Linked DNA regions of Drosophila melanogaster. The protein of the gene in region 1 interacts with the protein of each later gene in a pairwise test. Each region holds a gene or a part of one and is shown in the gene's direction. Other genes may lie near its edges.

Evidence for each region.
Region 2: the proteins of Hr3 (region 1) and Crg-1 interact in a two-hybrid assay, tested with the Drosophila melanogaster proteins (one large-scale study listed by BioGRID).
Region 3: the proteins of Hr3 (region 1) and CG34198 interact in a two-hybrid assay, tested with the Drosophila melanogaster proteins (one large-scale study listed by BioGRID).
Region 4: the proteins of Hr3 (region 1) and mamo interact in a two-hybrid assay, tested with the Drosophila melanogaster proteins (one large-scale study listed by BioGRID).

Annotation. Positions count from the first base shown.
Region 1 is NT_033778.4:10,231,589-10,236,165, reverse strand, and holds the start of Hr3 (hormone receptor 3), read left to right. Parts: upstream 1-1,558; 5' UTR 1,559-1,953; coding exon of another isoform or gene 1,954-2,292; 5' UTR 2,293-2,854; coding exon of another isoform or gene 2,855-3,385; coding exon 3,386-4,142; intron 4,143-4,577. Other genes in the region: CG12912 (uncharacterized protein), read left to right, coding at 1,954-2,292. UniProt on the Drosophila melanogaster protein: Putative receptor whose ligand is not yet known.
Region 2 is NC_004354.4:3,791,341-3,797,849, forward strand, and holds Crg-1 (circadianly regulated gene), read left to right. Parts: upstream 1-1,882; 5' UTR 1,883-2,066; intron 2,067-2,123; exon of another isoform or gene 2,124-3,320; intron 3,321-3,522; 5' UTR 3,523-3,751; coding exon 3,752-3,888; intron 3,889-5,319; coding exon 5,320-5,527; 3' UTR 5,528-5,999; downstream 6,000-6,509. Other genes in the region: HIP-R (Hsc/Hsp70-interacting protein related), read left to right, coding at 1-62, 137-328.
Region 3 is NT_033778.4:19,681,888-19,684,515, reverse strand, and holds CG34198 (uncharacterized protein), read left to right. Parts: upstream 1-1,538; 5' UTR 1,539-1,616; coding exon 1,617-1,796; 3' UTR 1,797-2,070; downstream 2,071-2,628.
Region 4 is NC_004354.4:13,983,393-13,988,444, reverse strand, and holds the start of mamo (maternal gene required for meiosis), read left to right. Parts: upstream 1-2,002; 5' UTR 2,003-2,074; intron 2,075-2,370; 5' UTR 2,371-3,231; intron 3,232-5,052.

The DNA of each region.
Region 1 (4,577 bases):
GCTCTCTGAGCCAGTTGCGTGTAACAGGTTTTTCCTCTTGAATAACTGGGACTTTCTTACGGGACTTTTTCGGAGAGTTTCTGCAGAGAAAACAGGTTAGAATCGGCACAGACTTGCAATAGATGATGAGGCAACAGCCGCCGCAAGAAGTTTACAACGGTGAGGCACACATTTCGCGTTCACGTTAGAACCAACGGTGTTTTAGCCAAGTTTAGCTGCAAGCTGCTAGTAAGCTGGTTGGCAGAACCACCAACCAGTTACCAGTTACCAGTTAGCTCTTGATTGTTGTTGCGCAAGCGGCAGCTGAATGCGGCGCAGAATAAATCTAACATGATTTAAGCAACGGAAAAACATGAAATATTAATGCCGATGCTTGAGTCTTGGCTCCGAATCAGAATCCGAATCCGTCCTAACGGTGGTCGCTCCGTTCGCCATCATCGACCCTCCTCTATAAGAAGTTTGGCCCTATGCCACCCAATTCCCCCACTCCCCTCCCCGCCCTAATGATGGCTCGATCCGATCGGTTGGGCTGGGGCCCAGTTGGGCGATTAGTTCAAATTTGCCCCGTCTGTTGGCCAATGGCCGAGATGTTCTCGGTTCGCCCCTTTTTTTGGGCATTCTTGACTCGAGGGTCATTGTGGTCATAGCTGTTCTTTGATTGGTTTTTGCCCAAATTGGCATTGGCAGCTTTAATTAGCGAGCTTAACATTTTAGTGCATTCTTGTAGTTTTGAGAGCACTAAAAATGCGCATTTTATGACTCATTTAAAAATATATATGTGCCAATGTTCATACTATTTATGACACTTTAAAGCTTTTTATATACATACTATATAATTATAAATACATGTATATTATCTTTACACAGCTTGTAGTAGACAAGACTTCGTATATATAATGACTTACTACTGCATCTATAGTTTATCCGTGTTCTACAAATTTGGTTTATAAACGAGGGGTTAACCATGAATTACATATCTTATGCACTATTTAAATGCATAACAAAAGAAAATATTTGTTTACCAAATATGTTTCTTTTTAAACATGTATATATAAAAATATATATCATAGTTGATTTTTTATTAACTAATTTTATGAATTTTTACAAATATTATAAATGGCAGTTTCAGTTGTTAGTTGAGTAAATGTCGAAAGTCAAGCCCAGAAGACTCATTCAAAATTTTCCGCCCTTGGAATTTCCACCTCGAGCGTGCAGAAATTTCCCATGACGCTTTATCACCACGACGGGAATTTTCCTGGCCCTTAGCCCGCCCCCGCCCCCACTGAGAGTTTTAGGGGTGGAAAAGCTGCGCAACAAACGTTCGTTCGACTGTGCTCGTTTTCCTTCGTGTTGTGGCTTCCAGTTTTTCCTGGCTATGCACTTGGCATTATGCCTACTAACCCTATTTTCGCAGCAGTTCGCAGCGAGTCCCATTTTTCAACTTGCATGCGGATACACACGCACACACACACTCGGATTTTCCTTTTCCCAGAAACTGAGGCGCAACCCCCACGAAACGGAAAGTTTGTGCAGCGGCAGAACGAACTGTGTTTGTGGCACTCGAATTTGGGACACATTCCTGTAAAGGACGCAGCTCCGGTCAGCTGCTTCGCAAAATCGACAAAAAGGAGTCACAAAAAAACGCGCGCGGTGCATTTAGCCACAAATCTCTGAAAGTGAAAATACAAATATTGAAACAGTGAAATCCACAAACCAGCCAAAAGTGAAACAAAATTGAACACAGTGCTTAATTAATATCGAAGCTAAAGGGATAGAAATCCGATTAGGAAAAGGGAAAGCTGCAGCGCTGCTCCTGTTTGCCAAATATTGATTCGCAAGTGTGCCGCTGAAAAATCGATTATTAAAGCCACTTTCCACACAGCTGGTGGTTGTTGTTGCCGTGAGGATGGAGGTGGTGCTTGGGGTGGTGGTTGCATAGGGTTGCGTGCCGCGATGTGGGAAATCAACAGCAACATTGGCACATCCACATCCAGATCCAGAGGCACACTTCCAACTGTTTTGACGTGGTCGGGTTCCAATGGCGCTGACACTACCGAATGCTGCAGCGCAGCCTTGCAGCCATCCAGCGGCGACGCGTTGCATGTGCAGCAGCAACAGCAACAGCAGCAGCAACATCAGCAGCAGCAGCAGCAGCAACAGCAACAGCAGCAACAACAGCAGCAGCAGCAGGATACGAAAACGAGGATGACAACGACCACAGGCAAACGCGGAGGACACAGATACAGAAGCAGGCTCAGTCACCGAAGCACAGCAACAATTGCTGCATATTAGGCAGTAAAGTAAAGTTAAACACAACCCAAAACCGAAAAGACTAGCCCAAAATTTACTCAAAAACCAACACAAGTGGAAAGCATTAATCGGAATGTCGAACTCTATGCATCGCACAAAGTTACGTTAAGTATACGACGCGTATTTCCAGCTGCAAAACGAACCAAAAACGAACCGAACGAAACGAAACGCACAGGTGCATCTGCAGACCCCACTACGCCCCTAAAAGCCCACTCCCCCCCCTTTTCGAACCCTCAGCCCCTCATTAGGCCACCCCCTCTGGGGTATCTACACCAATTGACAAGCAATCGAGGCAATGCAGTATGAATGAACTTGTTTAGTCGACAATTTTTTAAGTGCACTTTCGTAAGGCTGATTTTCAATTTATTTCGATGTTGTGCTTCTACACCCAAAAAAAAAACCAAATATAACAAGTAACAAATACAAGCATAAAAGAACCCAAGAAATTCAAGCAATGAACCAAGTGAAAGTGTGAGTGTTTAGTGTTTTAAGCGAAGGCGAAATCCGGACATTTGAGAGCCTTTGTGAGTAAACGGCCGCCACAACGGATAGGCCCAGAGATCTCCTGCTGATACAGCAGGCCAAGCCCGCCGGCGGCAGCAAATCCTCCAGCGGTGGTCCAACGTATATCGGCACCGATGCCGCCACAGCAGCGGCGGTGGCCAATCTGCGCAGCAAGGTGCCCTCCATCTCAATAATCCCGCTGCCCGTCTCGACCACCATTGTGGCACGCAGTGGTAGCGGTGCCTCTGGCACTGGCGGCAGTGGAGGAGCACCGCCAGCACTGCCCCAGCTGATCCAGTCGTCGCGGAGTGTGTCCACCAAATCCACGGGCACGTCTCCACCATTGGCCTTTATAACGGAAGGTTCTGGAACATCGGGTGCTCCCGCCCTGACACTGCTGCCACGACCCCAGCAGCAGCACCAGTACCAGCAGACCGACAAGTGCACGGTCCTCAAACTGGACGTACTGAAGCAGCAGTCGGGTGTGGCAGCCAACTCCAGCAGTAATACCTACCTGCAGATCGAGCAGCAGCTCAGCGAACTGGAGGCCGCCGACGAGGAGGAGGAGAACATGGCCAGTTTGCTGGGCAGTGCGCCACCCGCCCAAATCCTGGCCAACCAGCCCATCATCGTCAAGATCGAGCCCACGCAATCCTTCCACATCGTGGACGAGGGCGACACGAGAGTACTGAGCTTGCCCCTCAGCGATGCTGATAAGCTGGGCGCCAGTTGGATAGATCTCAAGGATATTGCCGGCCTACAGGCCGGTGGCGGAGCCACCTTGCTGGACGTCTGCTTCGAGCAGGCCAACGAGGACGGCACCATCATAGCCACCGTGCAGCCGGACTTGGAAAACGAGCTCGAGGCTGAGCTAAAGGCGGAGGGCGAGCCCGAGGATGAGACTGAACCAGAGCCTCCGGCGCCCAAGAGATTGGCGACCACCAGGCCAGCACAGTCGCGGCCACAACAGCAGCAGCAACAGCAGCAGCAGCAGGTGAAATTCCTATCGGATCCACCGGCATTGGCACGCTCCAGCAGCTTCAGCAGTCTCAGCAGCTTTAGCAGCATCAGCAATATCAGTTCCGTGTGCAAGAACATGGCCAGCAATACCAGCCAGGAGGGCTCCCTAAAACGCACAAAGGAGCGAACTCCTCCACCAATGCCACCGCTCACGACTCACAAGCCCGCTGCCACAACAACAGCAACATCAGCAACATCTGCAGCCGCAGCAACATCAGCAGCAACAGCAAGTGCAACAGCAACATCGGCCAGAGAAAACAGCAGAGAGCACAGCAGCAGCAGCAGCGGCAGTAATGGAGCCATGACAGGTATGTTCCAGTGCAACTCTCAATTATATTTTAGTCAATTTGGGAATATATATACTGTTCGAGACGATAATATATCTACCAATAATATATCTTCATATGCAAAAGCAATGTTCTTCGTCACTCTTGCTCTTAACAAACGTTAAAGAATTTTACTAAGCCATTGTGAGTGATTGTAGCAAATATTTGAAAGACCTTAAGTCAAGGATTCCCGCGAGTGATGAGTTCGCACCCCAGAAAACTCGGCAAGAATTCCACTTGTTGCGAACAACCGCCGGCTAACCACAGCACAGTGAGCACTCGCCCAGAGCGACCACCAACGATCAGCGATGGTTCAGATAATCGCACCCATATCCCCCAGATCCCCTCCCCCTTCCCCCTTCCCCATTCCACGCCAGAATCCGAGCTATGCAAATGAACGCTCGCCCATTGCGCAAG
Region 2 (6,509 bases), on another chromosome or scaffold:
ACGGAAATATGTCTGATATACTGGGCGCCATGTCAGATCCCGAGGTGTCAGCCGCCATTCAGGTTCGTGAATACTACTTTTCTATTTCTAATACAAATGCAGTAATCATATCGTTGTTATTTATTAACTTTCGTAGGACATTTTGTCAAATCCGGGTAACATCACAAAGTACGCGTCGAACCCGAAGATATACAACCTTATCAAGAAGATTGTGCCCGGTGGAGATGTGGGTGCTGCCTTTGGCCAAGCGGGTGAAAAGGCTGGAAAGCCGAGCGAGCCTAAGCCTAAAAAGGACTCCGCCGACTTCGTCGATGACGGTTTGGACTAAGGTTTAGAAATGGGGCAGTAGTAAGACTGAAACATGCGTCGATAAAAAGAAGTTAACAACCAATTACACGAAATCGAGCGAGATTACAAAACAACAAAGAAAGAGAAAGCAACAGAGTGCGGTGAAGAAGATGGACTACACGAAAAACAAAAGGGAAAGCGGCTGCCTTACACATTTTTGCAGCTGAGAAAAAACAAACATTTCCTAAGCTTTAACTTAACCAACACGTAAAAGAACGGGCGACAATGGAGAAAATTCAAATATTCAAAATACTACAAGCAGTCAGAAGAATAAGCAACATTTATTTAAATCGAGAAGAAAGAGATGTTGGAGATGCTGGAGACGCTTCTTCACATATTATTGAAAAGCATACTTGCGGCCATTAAAGTGGCAAATGAAACTATACAAAGGAGCTAGAATATGCTTAAAAACTTATCACATTTGCAGTTCACAGGTAAATCAAAAGATTGTCCTGTGACGAACAAAACATAAATGTTTAGACGTCAAGTCAGATTCAAGGGTGCCGATCGATCTAGTTGAACTAAAGCTCGAGAAACAACCAAAAGAAAATAAAAAATATATATATGTTCAATAATATTAGCCTAAATTACCGAGAACGAAGAAACGGATAAAACTAATCGCATCATTTGGTCAAACAAAATTGTACTGAGTAGGATTTAAATCATATTGTAAGCAAATGCATTTAGCCCCCCAACATGAAAGCAATCGCCCATTCATTCACACACTCATTCACACACTCATTCAACCAGTGATCAATGGAAATAAATAAACGAATCAACAAGAACCCGAATTGCTAATGTCCATATTTTTTGGTAAACGGGTAAAAGGGGAGATACTTTTGCTTTTTTTTCGAGCGGGTTGGACAGATGGAGCCGTAGTCCCTTAAACTATCCGGCGCATCACCTGTGTGGGTTGCTCACTTTGTATGAAGGACATTGGGTACGCATGGTGTATGAAAGCGTCGATTAGACGCTTCAATGGCTGCACCCTGCACCCTGGATCCAGAACCTATCTACCGCACCCCGCCCCATGTCAGCGCGAAATTGGCTAACGGACAGCTTGGCGCACATGTTCGATTATGGCCAAATCGAGCGACCAAGCAGAACCAGCGGCACATGACCTGGGCTCAGCGATGCCAAGACCTGGGTGGTTGTACCTAGAGGTACTTGATTGCTTTTTAAACTCAGCTTGGTACAGCGTACACGACTGATTATTTAGAAGCTATGACAGCTTTCTTTGCTTTGATATTTTTCATATTTATATATAAATTATAAATATATATTTATAAGCAGGTGATATGGTTGAAACATATATCAACGAATATGTCAAATATAATACAGTGAAGTGTCTGCATTATTTTATTGTACCTGCGCCATCACAGGTACGGCTCCTCTTTCCATCGACTGCAGACGTACCGCTTATGTGCATGACTGGGTGTCCGGGGTGGTGGATGTGAATGTGGATGAGTGGCAGGAGGGCGCAGGCGCAGCTCAGCCCAACAGCCAAGTTGGTCTGGACTCCTGGCGGCCCATCGCATTCCGTGGCCAGTCGCAGCGCGAGACGGTTAGCCAGTTAGCCAGTGCGGACCGACTAATTCCCAATTTCCGCTCTTGACTAAACTAAAGATTGAGAAATAAAGAAAGAAATATCCTTCGTCCGTCCCCCAGACGAAGCAGGTCAATTTTTTTTTCGTGTTACTTGCTCTTTTTCGCCAAGTGTGAGTTGTGTGTTTTGGCTTGGCTAACGTGATTGAAATCGAGACAGCCGGGACATCATGATTGTCAACATGCCCGTCAATGGAACGGGCAGTGCATCCAGCCCAACATCGAATCCCAGCAGCAACAACAACAACAATAGCAGTACCACCAATCAAAATGATACGAACACTAATCTTCCCGGTGATTACAACTTTCTTAAGCGCAAGTTCGACGATCAGGAGGATTTGGCTTTGGGCCACGACTACGAGCCCATCGGGGCAAATCCCTGGAAGAAGCGACACTTGGACTACGATGCCGGGGACCTGCACTTCCACCTGCAGCTGGAACAGCCACCTAGTAATCCGCCAACCAACGCTGCACCCGCCCAATCCTCGACGTCCTTCATCAACGATCTCTTTTCCTATGAGAGCAGTCTTCTGGTGCCCGCCGTCGCCTATTCGCACTGTCCACCATCGAGTGCTCCATTGGATGACAATGGTGGTTGGACCGGTGGCGAGCTGCTGGAGCTGGATCATCGTTATAACTCCGGCCTGCAGGCGGAACTGGGGCAATTGAATGCCACTTTGCCGCCGCCACCACCAACATCATCATCAGCTCAAAATGCATCCAATCATACGCAGCAGTCAACACAACAGAATGTCATTCCTGGTCAGAACCCACATCAGAATCAACATTTTCTGGTGCCGCAGAAGCAGCGGATACAGTCGGCGGGCCGACGCACCTCATCCGGTTCGGTTAGTGGGGCCAATGAAGCCACCGAGGCGGACTTCGAGGATAAGAACCTCTCGTGGCTGCTCAACTTTAAGTTCGACGAGTTCCCGCACCTATCGCCGCACAATCAGATTCACGGACAGGCGGTCAATCTGCCGGAGGGCAGTGCTCCACCTCATCCACCATCGACGGCAGTGCCGATCGCCACGTCGCCCTGCAGTTCCTCCTCGCCATCATCCGCCTCCGCCGCATCGGCATCCGCATCCGCCATAAGCACAAATCAATCTCTCGGATCGGGTTTGGTGGATCAACGGGCCAGATCGCCCAAGAGTTGCTCCAGTGCAGCGATGCCAGCGGCATTAGGAGGAGGAGGCAACGGCTCCGCTGGCGCTTCAGCAGCGGGGGGCGTGGCCGGCGTGGGCTCCACCAAGACTGGGCGCAAGTTCGAGGAGCTGGTGATGGAGGTCACCTCGGAGTTGGACGGTAACGACATGATAGTTGCCGAGCACGTTGTCGTCGAGGATACTTCGTCCAAGGCGTAAGTGTTGCAGAAATAAAACAATATGACAGTGTCAACGGTTAAATTCTATATTTCCTAATTTATTTGAAACATCTATTTATTCCCGTTACTCATAGAGGAAAAGGGTATACTAGATTCGTTGAAGTATATATAAAATTTGTTGATCAGGATCAATTTTTAAATTTTTTTCTCATTTTATTCCCCAATATCTATCGACATCCCAGAAAGATGATTAAATTTCGCGTTCGCATTCACACTAGCTGAGTAACGGGTATCTGATAGTCGGGTAACTCGACTATAGCATTCTCTCTTTTCTTTTAATATATTTAACAATCTTTCTCTCTGATTTGTGCGTTCTCCATTTGCTTTCAATGCCGTCCTCCAATCGATGCCGCCAACGAATTTCCCCAACCACGCAATCGCCGATCCACTAAACCACCGAACCACCCACCAATGTGGCTGAAATCCAAAACCAACCACCGCAAAACAAGCAGGCCAAAGAAACCACCGTTCACCTACACGGAGCTCATCGAATACGCCCTCGAGGATAAGGGTGAGCTGACTGTGTCGGGCATATACCAATGGATATCGTAAGTACTGTCCCCCATCGAACCACCCACTGAATCAACCACCACCGCCCACCGCCCACCGCCCATTCGGATGGACGCCATTTTGTGGAGTGCTAGCCATCCTGTTATTTTTGTTGATGGCAAAAAACGCCAGCCAGGATGCAATTAAACAAATCTCAAGCATTTCGTTTTGGCTATTCCCGTTGGCCATTTGATTTCCTCGTTCGCTGGGTATTTCTTCTTACCATGTTTTCGTTCCTTGGTTGGTAACCAAACTTAAACAAAGTGCCACACACCGGCAAACAAACGATAGCGGCCACAATGAAAGTGCAAAAAAATTAGCAGCTCAAACAAATTTATGGGCTAGAAAATTGCATTTACCTTGCCTTCGCTCGCATAAGGTGAAAAACAAAAATGTTGTTAACCAAACTATTTGCGGGTTGTTCAACAAGTTGTTTATGCCAAACTGGTATTCCCTGGTATTATCAGCTTATACGGATAGCGACCCATTAATTTTGGCTTTTGGATTGTTTAGTGGCAATTGTTGAGTATACCAAATTCTTAGTTTTATGATGATAAGTGCTTAATACGGCTCATTCCGTATTAGTTAATCATTCAGAAGTATTCAAAACTAGTTAATCATTACCTACTTTTCGCAGAACGTTAAAATTTTTCAAAATTCCATTTTTACCACGCTGAGTTCGAAAATATCAATTCGTCAAGAATCGCTGACGAAGAAAACAATAAGTTTTAACACATTTTTCAAGGTTCATCAATTTGGCCTTTCGCCCCCACTGCTCCCCACCTGTTTTTTGTTATTCATTTCTTTTGTTGTCTTCGAATACCCGAAATCAGTGTAAATATTTGATGCCGCAGCCGCGAATGTTGCGTGTAAATATCCTATATAAATTTACATATAAAACCACCCCGCTCGGGAGGGGGAGGCAAATAATTTATGACATTTGCCCATCACCTGCGCACCTGCACTCCTCACCACCCCCCGCATTTAATGTAATGAATCGACAGTCCAAGAAGTTTCGGCTCAGTTCGAATGGGCGTGCAGTTTGGGTAACTTTTCATTAACCATTCACAAATTTACCTTGCGGCCCCCAGTTGGCTGGTTGGTTGGCAAACGGGGGGATGAAATATTAACATCCAAGGCGTATTATTAGAAATATATACATATATGTCGAAGAGTCATCAGGACGCCCTTCTTCCTCTTCACTATTCTCGTTGTCTGCGCAACGTTTTCTGGCGCGTAAGCGAGACATGTCTGTTCTTCGCAATGATCGATCACTGACTGACCCAATCTCTTTTCACAAAATCAGAATTATACGTAGTTCTTAACTCTACACGCATTACCAACACATTTTGGAGACTCACTCCAGTCCACATACATAAACACTAATGCATTTAACCGCATTTTTCTGTACGCTTCCGTTATTCCTGCAGGCATCTACTTCCTCCCGCTCCTACCATCGACCAGACTACGTTAACGGTTCTCTGTCGCGCATCAAAAGAACAGAAAAGACGCCTGCATGGCGCGCCAAGCAGAAACACGCAATTACTAGAAATGTCGTTACATTTAAATGATCTGCGACATATAAATGTAGATATGTATATAAAAGCTGCAAAAAAAAAACATGAACTACCAAGCTAAATGTTTCAATAATATATAATAAACCGATATGAAATCTGCCTACAGCCAGACAAAAAAAACCTTAAAGAGAAAGATCAGAAGAGGAACAGAAGAGTTTGAGCGGGGAGTGAAGATTCATCCAAAAGCGAAAAACATTTTTTTCTTAAGTCTACGCAAAACAAAATGAATGAAAAGTAACCCGAAATTAGTTTTTAGAGTATAAGTATAAAAAATGGAAAATATCGCGATAGAAAGAAACAAAAATGGACGCAGATAAGGACGGCAAGCAAAACAAGAGTAAAAAAGCAGCGGCAACAACTCCCTAATAATCGCAAAGAGCATTGTAAATATTTATATAAATAATCTATGCTTCATTTAAGTTTAAAATAATGAAAAAAATCAGCAAAAAAACATAATTCTAGAATAAAAATCAAGAAAACCAAAGACAAAAGCAAACAAAAAACTTGACGAAACATTGAATATAAAAAAATACTAAAATGATTAACAGAAAACTGTTTTAATATCAATGAGGGCACACATAAATTTCTTCAGCAATAGTTATGGACTTAATTGTGGCTCATTACATTCTCGATCCTATGTGAATATGTATGTATATGGATATGTATTTAAATTTGGGGTATGTGGCGGAATTTTTTCGAAGGATCTATTCGCTTTATTGTTATCGATTTCTATATACTAATAAATACCAGCTAGGTCAAGATTTGTATACGCTGTTCATAGCTCCTTCTCGAGGGCCTTGGACAGCCGTCTATAATGGCCGAGGATGCACTGTCTCCGGTGCCGCAGGCATACCCGCTCGCTGCTGAAACGCTTCAAACAAACTGAGCAACGTCTGTGATCACTTATTCCATTGGGCAACCCGTTGTGTCTGCTAAATACGGCGACCACTTTCGCCTTGGCACAGCTCTGCTCTTTTTTTCGATGTACCAAAAGATAGCTGGTGGATTTGAAGTAACGTTTGCACTGAAGACATCTGTAGCAC
Region 3 (2,628 bases), 9.5 Mb from region 1:
ACTGGTTAAAACAACAGTGCTCCCACTTCCCCTTTCCGGTTTTAAACAACCCTCCCAATAATAAATCTGCGTGAACCCCATTAACCCTTTAGTTATGTTCTTGGAGTCGGAGGAAAGTAACGACTCTATTAGTAGAGGAATTTAAATTGCCGCCTAGTTCGTTTTTATTATCCTCGAGGAGGGAATGGAACCTCCGGCGTAAGGTGCGCAAGCCAACTAATGACCCTGTATTTATATGACAGGGGAAAGTTTATAAATATTTATGGGGTGCTGCTGTTGCTTACTGTTGTTGCTGGCTTTCATCAAGCTAAAACTCATTTGCTTATTTTAAAATTCCGAGCAGGCGTAGTTTCATTTTTGACACCCGGCATTCGTCGCCGGTCCCCCAAAACCGATGTTCCCCATCCGTTCCTTTTTTAGGGATCTGCCGCACGTTGTTGCCATTGTCACGCACACACGTACTATATTTTTTACGCGCATATCATATTACACCCTCCAAACACACAGGGACATTCCCTTGCCTTAAAGGACCCTCCGACCAACCGACCAGCCAACCAACCAACCCCTTTCCCAACTGGGGATGCTACGGGGATCCATCGAGGTTTGGGGACCCAGTCGAAGTAAATAGAATCACGTACACTAATTATCATCGCCATTGCACGAAGGGCGCTCAAAAATATATATTTTTATTAATTTCAGCAAGGTAACGCCGCTCTAAAAGCCAACCAACCACCTTACACATACCCCATCTGCGGTGTTGGGTGAAAATTTTAATTGAGATCTCCGCTATTTGATAGCAACGAGGAACTATTCGCCCGAAATTGATGTGGCCGCTGATGCTGATGGGGCCACTCGAATGGTTGGTTTTGAATGCAAAATGCGTCGTCGGATATAGTTTTGAGTGCTCAGATAAGGTGGCATATATAATTAGCTGCCCCATTTGGCATTATGCGACATTTGTGTGTTTCAAGTTTCCCCCGATAGTTTGTGTAATGTGAGTCATTCATTTGATAAAGTCATAGGGGAATGAGAGTGCCGAACACGAGTTTAATTAAAGTGCTAATCTGACTCCAAGTAAAAGTAAATAACAAAGAATAGAGTATAAGATAAAAAATATAAAAATATAACCAAATATATAGACATCTTAGGGCTTGGAAAATGATGATGACGTTGTTTGTTGAATTGCAAGAAAAATAAACATCAGATAATACAGTATACAGCAAACCCGATAAAAATTATCAGTATATTATCAGATTTTGCATAACTTGTAAGTTACAAGAAAGGCCTTTGTTTATTTGAACAACAACGCTTGAATGCAGCGAATTCATAAATAAAATCATGTAATAAATAACCTATCGATTTTGTAGTTTTCTATCATAAAGCTGGTTAGACAACCAAGGTGGGACCCCAACGAATCGCTAGGTACTTCACACAAATCGCTGGCCACTGATAAGAGTTCCAGTTGCTTTTATCTATAGATAACACCCATAGCAGAGATTGCCGAGAGCGCGGCTATAATAGCACAATCCCAACAATATGACCAGTGCCGAACTAAACGCGTGCGGTGCAACAAGTACATTTTATAATTGAAAACAACCGGATTACAACCAATCGAAATGGACCACAGAACTCGCGTTGTGGAGGTGGTGCAAGTGCCACCCCAACCCTCGACCACGGTGATCGTGCAACCTCCTCCGCCGCCGCCTCCTCCCAAGGATAACAGTTGCTGTTGTTGTCCTTGCTGCCCCTGTTGCTGTCAGTGTGGCGAATGCTGTTGCTGCTGCACCATCATGTGAAAGACGAAGGTGCCCGCAGGCAAAGGACCTCAGAACCCCTAATTCGTTACGTTAAATTAACTTTCTATGTCTATGGAGGCCGCAAACAATTCACACAGTTTTTTCGTGCAATAAAATTTTACGATTCGTTATAAATAACTCTGTGTAGGGCTCACACTGTGGTTGCCATTTTTTTTGTGGCGAAGGGAACACGCTTGGTAACATATTGTCTTACATAAATCCCAATGCGAAAGTACCACAATATAATAAAAAGCCAAATTTAATAACATCCCACAAAAATTTGTAGTTTTATGATGCGCGAGCAGGGGGACAATCCTTTTTGGCTGCTGGAAATGCTCACCACATCATTTCAAAGTTAGTTCACATTCCGAGTTATTATTTATATGTTTCTCAATTTGCCAATAAAAGCGGAAAATGTGTCAAGAGTGCTGCCAACTCCGGTTCCAGGCCCATGCTGCTCTCATTTGATAAAGGATTTTATGACTCTTGGCTCTTGAATTGCAACCGCAGCGTCGGAGCTCTCGCCCCAAATATTTTGACGAGGGTCCCCAAAGTGGGACATTATGTGGGCGGGAGTCGGACAACGAATGCGAGTGCCTTTTTCCAAAGTTAGTAGTCTGCTCATTTAACATAATTTCTGACTCGCAATGCTTCTTTGCCAAACGTTTATCTAAAGCCCAAACCTTATTACTCATACGCACTGTGATAATTCAGACGGAAAACCGTGGTATTGATATCGAAGTGAACAGGCTGAAAAAATCCCATAGTTTAACAGAGTAGGAAAATTTAACACTTTTAACCTGTTTTCCAAGTTTAATATAAAATACTTGAG
Region 4 (5,052 bases), on another chromosome or scaffold:
TTTTTTTCAAGTGTTTTTAAGAATTTTTTTTTTTTTGAATATAAAATATTGCAAGTGAAAGCAGCAGCAACTATTTTTGATTTTAGCAAATTGTGCTGTTTCTCAAAAAGTGTTTATGACAAAGTGCTAGAAAAACCGGAAGGACCACATATATATAATATACAAAAAATTACAGAATTTTCGTATTTTGTGTTTGTTGAGGATCACTTAAGTGCCCCAAAAGGTCATGTGTTTTTCTAAGGATTTTAATCATGCATAGCCAAGTTAAAAGTCTTAAGAGGGAAACTAGTGATGTTGCGTTTTCCAAGGACAACTAAAGTCATTCAAAGGATATTGTTTATCATTTCGAAAATGCATAATGTTTCATGTTTCATTTGTACACCATTTTATGTTTGAATTTGTGTGCTTACTCATTCTTATTTACAAGTGTTGACAAGTTCTAATAATAACATTTCGAAACCACGAAAGGAAAGATTCAAATATCCAGTGTTTTGAAGGATTGAAACTATGTTTTTAAGAAGTTAGTTGCAGTTATAAAGAATGTCAATTCCGAATTAAGTGTATAAATATTTTAGGCAAATTTTTAGTAGCTAGGTAGTGGCTATTTATTGCAACAGGCCCTCAAAAAATAATATGTAACTAATATTGTAATGTGTTTTCTTAAATTGTCACTTGTCCTGAATTTGTGAATTGATTAACAAGTGCCAAAAAAAAAACCCAAAAAAAAAAAAAAAAAAAAAAACTGCAGCTTAGACATCAGATTAGAAATTGCCGACGGAATATCGCAGAGCTCTGTTGAAAATATTCTGAGCGGAATTTTTAGTGCATATTAGAACTCTAAATATTAAATGATATTTCAATGATTTTTTTACTGTTTCTTTTTTATGTCAATTTGGCAATTGCATTGTATTATTTAAAGTTTAAATATTTCCATACTTCAATTTTAAATGTATTTGTATTATACTCAACTAAAACTTTTAAGGTTTTAGTGTGAAAGTAATTGTAATTAAAGATTACAATTTTCGATTTTAAATTTTGTATGAAAATGAATTAAAACGAATTGCCACATTTTTCATTTAGCCTTATTCATGTGCTTTACTACTAATTTTGTGGCATGCACATAAAATCGCACTTTTTTTTAAACCAGTGAATAAACATAATTATTTAAAAATGATAAGTTCATCATTTTTGTTGGAAAATGTATTAAAACTTGTTAGATTTATTAAAGCAAATTTATTGAATTTAATAAAAAATTTAAAAGAATAGTTTCGAACCTTGTTTTTTTTGTTTTGTTGAATTTATCAGTTTTTAATATTTTTCTTGCAAACCATTAAAATCGATCAGATTGCATTCCGTTTTAAGATTGATAAAAATGATAGTTTCAATTTTATTTGAGTGATTTGAGGGCATATATGGCATTATTAAAAATAATGCACATTCAACTAGAGTTCTTGTCCTGCGTATTAATTTGTTGGACCTTTCTTTGTCCTTTTATTTGAACCCCAAAAACTTTCGGGAAACATATGGCAGACGGTTGTGTGAGTGTTTGTGGGTTTTATTTTCTGAATGATATGTTGCTGCACTCGTACAGATTACGCATACGCTGCGTTGTCCACTGCGAAGAGAGAGAGAGAGCGAGCGAGCGAAAAGAGAGAGCGCCGCACCGTGCACTTTCTGCGATTGAGTGAAAGAGAAAAAGTGACTCGCGGTGGGAAACGAGGTGCATTTTGGCTCAGCTTTGCTGCGTTTTTCACCGACGCTGCTCTTTTACGAAGCGCGTGCGGCGCTCTTAGTACAAGCACACACCACTCACACACACACACACACACACACACACATACGTATGGACTACGATGTGCAGGGGCACCCACACATAGGCGAACGGGAATCACTCGGCAATACGAAGCAACGCAGTCGCAGTCGCAGCGCTGCCGCCGCGCTGCCAACGCCAATGCTCTTTGGGTTTTGGGCTTTTGGCCAGGCTTTTTGGTTTTGCAGCTCTGTCGGCTTTGGACTTTCGCAGAGATTTCACACGCGATGCGATTGCAGTTCTTGCAGACACTTTCATACGTTCGTTCGTGTTTATTTTCGTTAGCCTTAGCCGCAAACAGCAAATAAATTACATTTTGCCAAGCGACAAAATATTCAAATATTTTACGAATATTTGTACGGAAAATATTTTGGATTCTTTATCGTTTATTTTTTTTTTCTTCTTTATTTTTGTGCGCGGTTTTTGGAAACACGAATTTCGAGTAATAGGTCCTTTTGCATTCATTTCTGTCCTTCATTCATGAAATTAATTTTTTTTTGAATTTTTTTCAAGTGCTCTGCGTCGGTTTCTAACACTAGTTTTTGTATACTTTTTCCCAGGCATAAACTTAAACACAACAAAAATGTTTTATAAATATATTATTATAAAATAAAAAATTACAAATAAATGAAGTAACAGCGAAAGTTTTTAACAAAGTCAACAACAACAACAACCACACAAAAGAAGCAAGAAAATCCTTAAGCGTAATTTTTTTGTATTTCAACAATGCAACAACCACAACAACTACATCTACAACAGGGGCAACAACTGCAGCAGCAACAACAACCGCAAGAACAACAACATCAACAACAACCACAACAACCAAATGAAACAACAACTCAAGGCGGCTTTGCACGTGTGTGTGTGTGAACAACAACAACAACAACAACAACAACAACAAAAGCGACAACAAGCTAAAAACTTTAGAAAAACTTACAACAACTTTTTTGGACTTGGAGCATTTTTCGAAATCTAAACAGCCTAAAGTAAATACCGAAAAATATCCCGCAATTATTTTGTGTTTTTTTCCCCATCTCAAAAACTACAATTTCATTTCAAATAGAAAAACGCAAACAATTTAAACAAAAAACATGCTCTAAGGTTGTGTTAAAGGAAATTAAACCTATTTTGCACCTTAATTCTTTGATTTCAACAAAATTACAACAATTTTTTCCAAGTGAAAAATTTGTGCGAACCGCAGAAAACAGAAAAGTGGAAATAAACAAAAATCAAGTCAAATTTAATTCAATGCAAACAGCAAGTGCAACAACAACATCAACAACAACAACAACCACAAGAAATTCACCCAAAACATCAACAACAACAAAACCAACAACTGCGGCAAAGGCATCAACAACAACACCAACAACAAGAAGAAGAACGAGAACAAAGTTTTGAAACTGCGGTGTTTGGCGTTTATGGTGAGTTTTTTTTTACTTTTCAAACAATTTTTCAAATCATCGAATCATTTATTTGGCACTTCGTTTGCGATATTATTTTATCAAGTGTTTGCGTGGGTCAAAAATCGAACACGAAGTGCTACTCGATAAGAAAAGTGTTAGGTTTGGATGAATTTTGGCCATAAATGGATTAATAGCAAAAGTGTGAAGTGAGAGGAATGGAAAGTGTTGGACAAAAACTTGTTTGCGATTAATTTTGTCCATAGAAGCCTTGAATAAACTATAACTTTGAATTGCAAAAAAAAAACGGCGTTAATTAAATAAAATATTTGCAAAATTACTAGCCATTGGTGACTTAACTAAAATAAGGTGCTAAACAATTTAACTTTGATAAGAAATACACTTTAGGGTCATTGCTACTATAAATGTATGCTAGATATAATATTTTTGATTATATATATATAATATTTGTATATTATTATTCAGACAGACTTCAGTTATTGCTGATTATAAAGAACTTAATCGTAATGCCTATAGTTAAGTGTGAAGATAAACATAAGTTAGTTGATATAAAAAATGGCAATAAAACACCCAGACGTATACATAACTCTATTCACGAATCAGTTTTGTTACCCTTTCCATATATATATATATATATATATATATATATATTTTTTTTTTATCAACCGCTCTTTTGGCGACGACTGTAGCACTTCCCGTTTGAACCGGATGCGCTTTTGGAAAAATTTGCTGAATGTTATCAAATATGTAAAATGGAAATGCACTTTTCTGGGCCACAACAACTGGCAAAAAATAAAATGCATATATCGACAAAGCAAAAAGAGACAAAAAAAAAAAAATAAAGAAATAAATAGTAAGCCAATCAATAAATTGGCAAAAAGAAAAGTAAGTTAACTAAATGCTTGGTCAGTTTTAGAAGTCGCCAGCGAATAGAATCGGCAAGAAGAAAATTCTCGAACTTCCGGCGCCACCAGAGGCGCCAACTAATCATCGCTTTTTTTTTTTGTTTAGCTTAGTTAATCAGGAAATTGGGCAAAAAAAAAAAAACGCTAAAGAAATTGGAAAACTTTAAGATTCAACTTGAATAGATGACATGTTTTGTTAGCACTATAGAATGTTATAAACGTAGTGTAAGTTATGTTAGATTTTATTTTAAGTATTATAAGCAATATATCTCCTTTATATAGCTACGATTTGAAACGAATATAATTTATTAAGCTTATATAAGTGTTTTGTTCTAAAATTAAAGTGGATTTTTTTTTTTAAGAGAAGTCTGCACTTCATGTAATTAAAAACCCACAACACAAGACCTTAACAAGACGAAACGCACTGTCTAGCTTCTTAGCGCGCCTTATCCTCATTCCCATCGCTGTCTCTCGACTTTATCGCAATTATAAATATTTATAAGAAATGAGTCCATACAAACGAATATCATTCCCATTGCACTTGGTGGGGGGTTTTTGAGCGCCGTTTTAATGGCTTCTTTCGTGTTTTTTTTTTTTTTGTTTCTGTTTTGTTTTTCAAATAGTATTATTTTTTATTATTTTTTGCCATACTGCGCAGACGCAACAAGATTTGCAAAATATTCTAATATCATATAGTATATCATGTTTTATTTTTTGACATTTCCATTTCGTTTAATTTCAGTTACATTTTCGTTTGCAAAAATTCATTACAATTCGCGTAATTGCGTTGCCTTTGTGTGGATATTGTTCGTGTGTTTTTCTTCTCTTTTTTTATGTGCAACAGTTTTCGCTCGTGTGTTTTTTTCTAATTATTTTCCGCGAGTGTGATTGTGTGTGTGTGTGTGTGAGTGTGCCT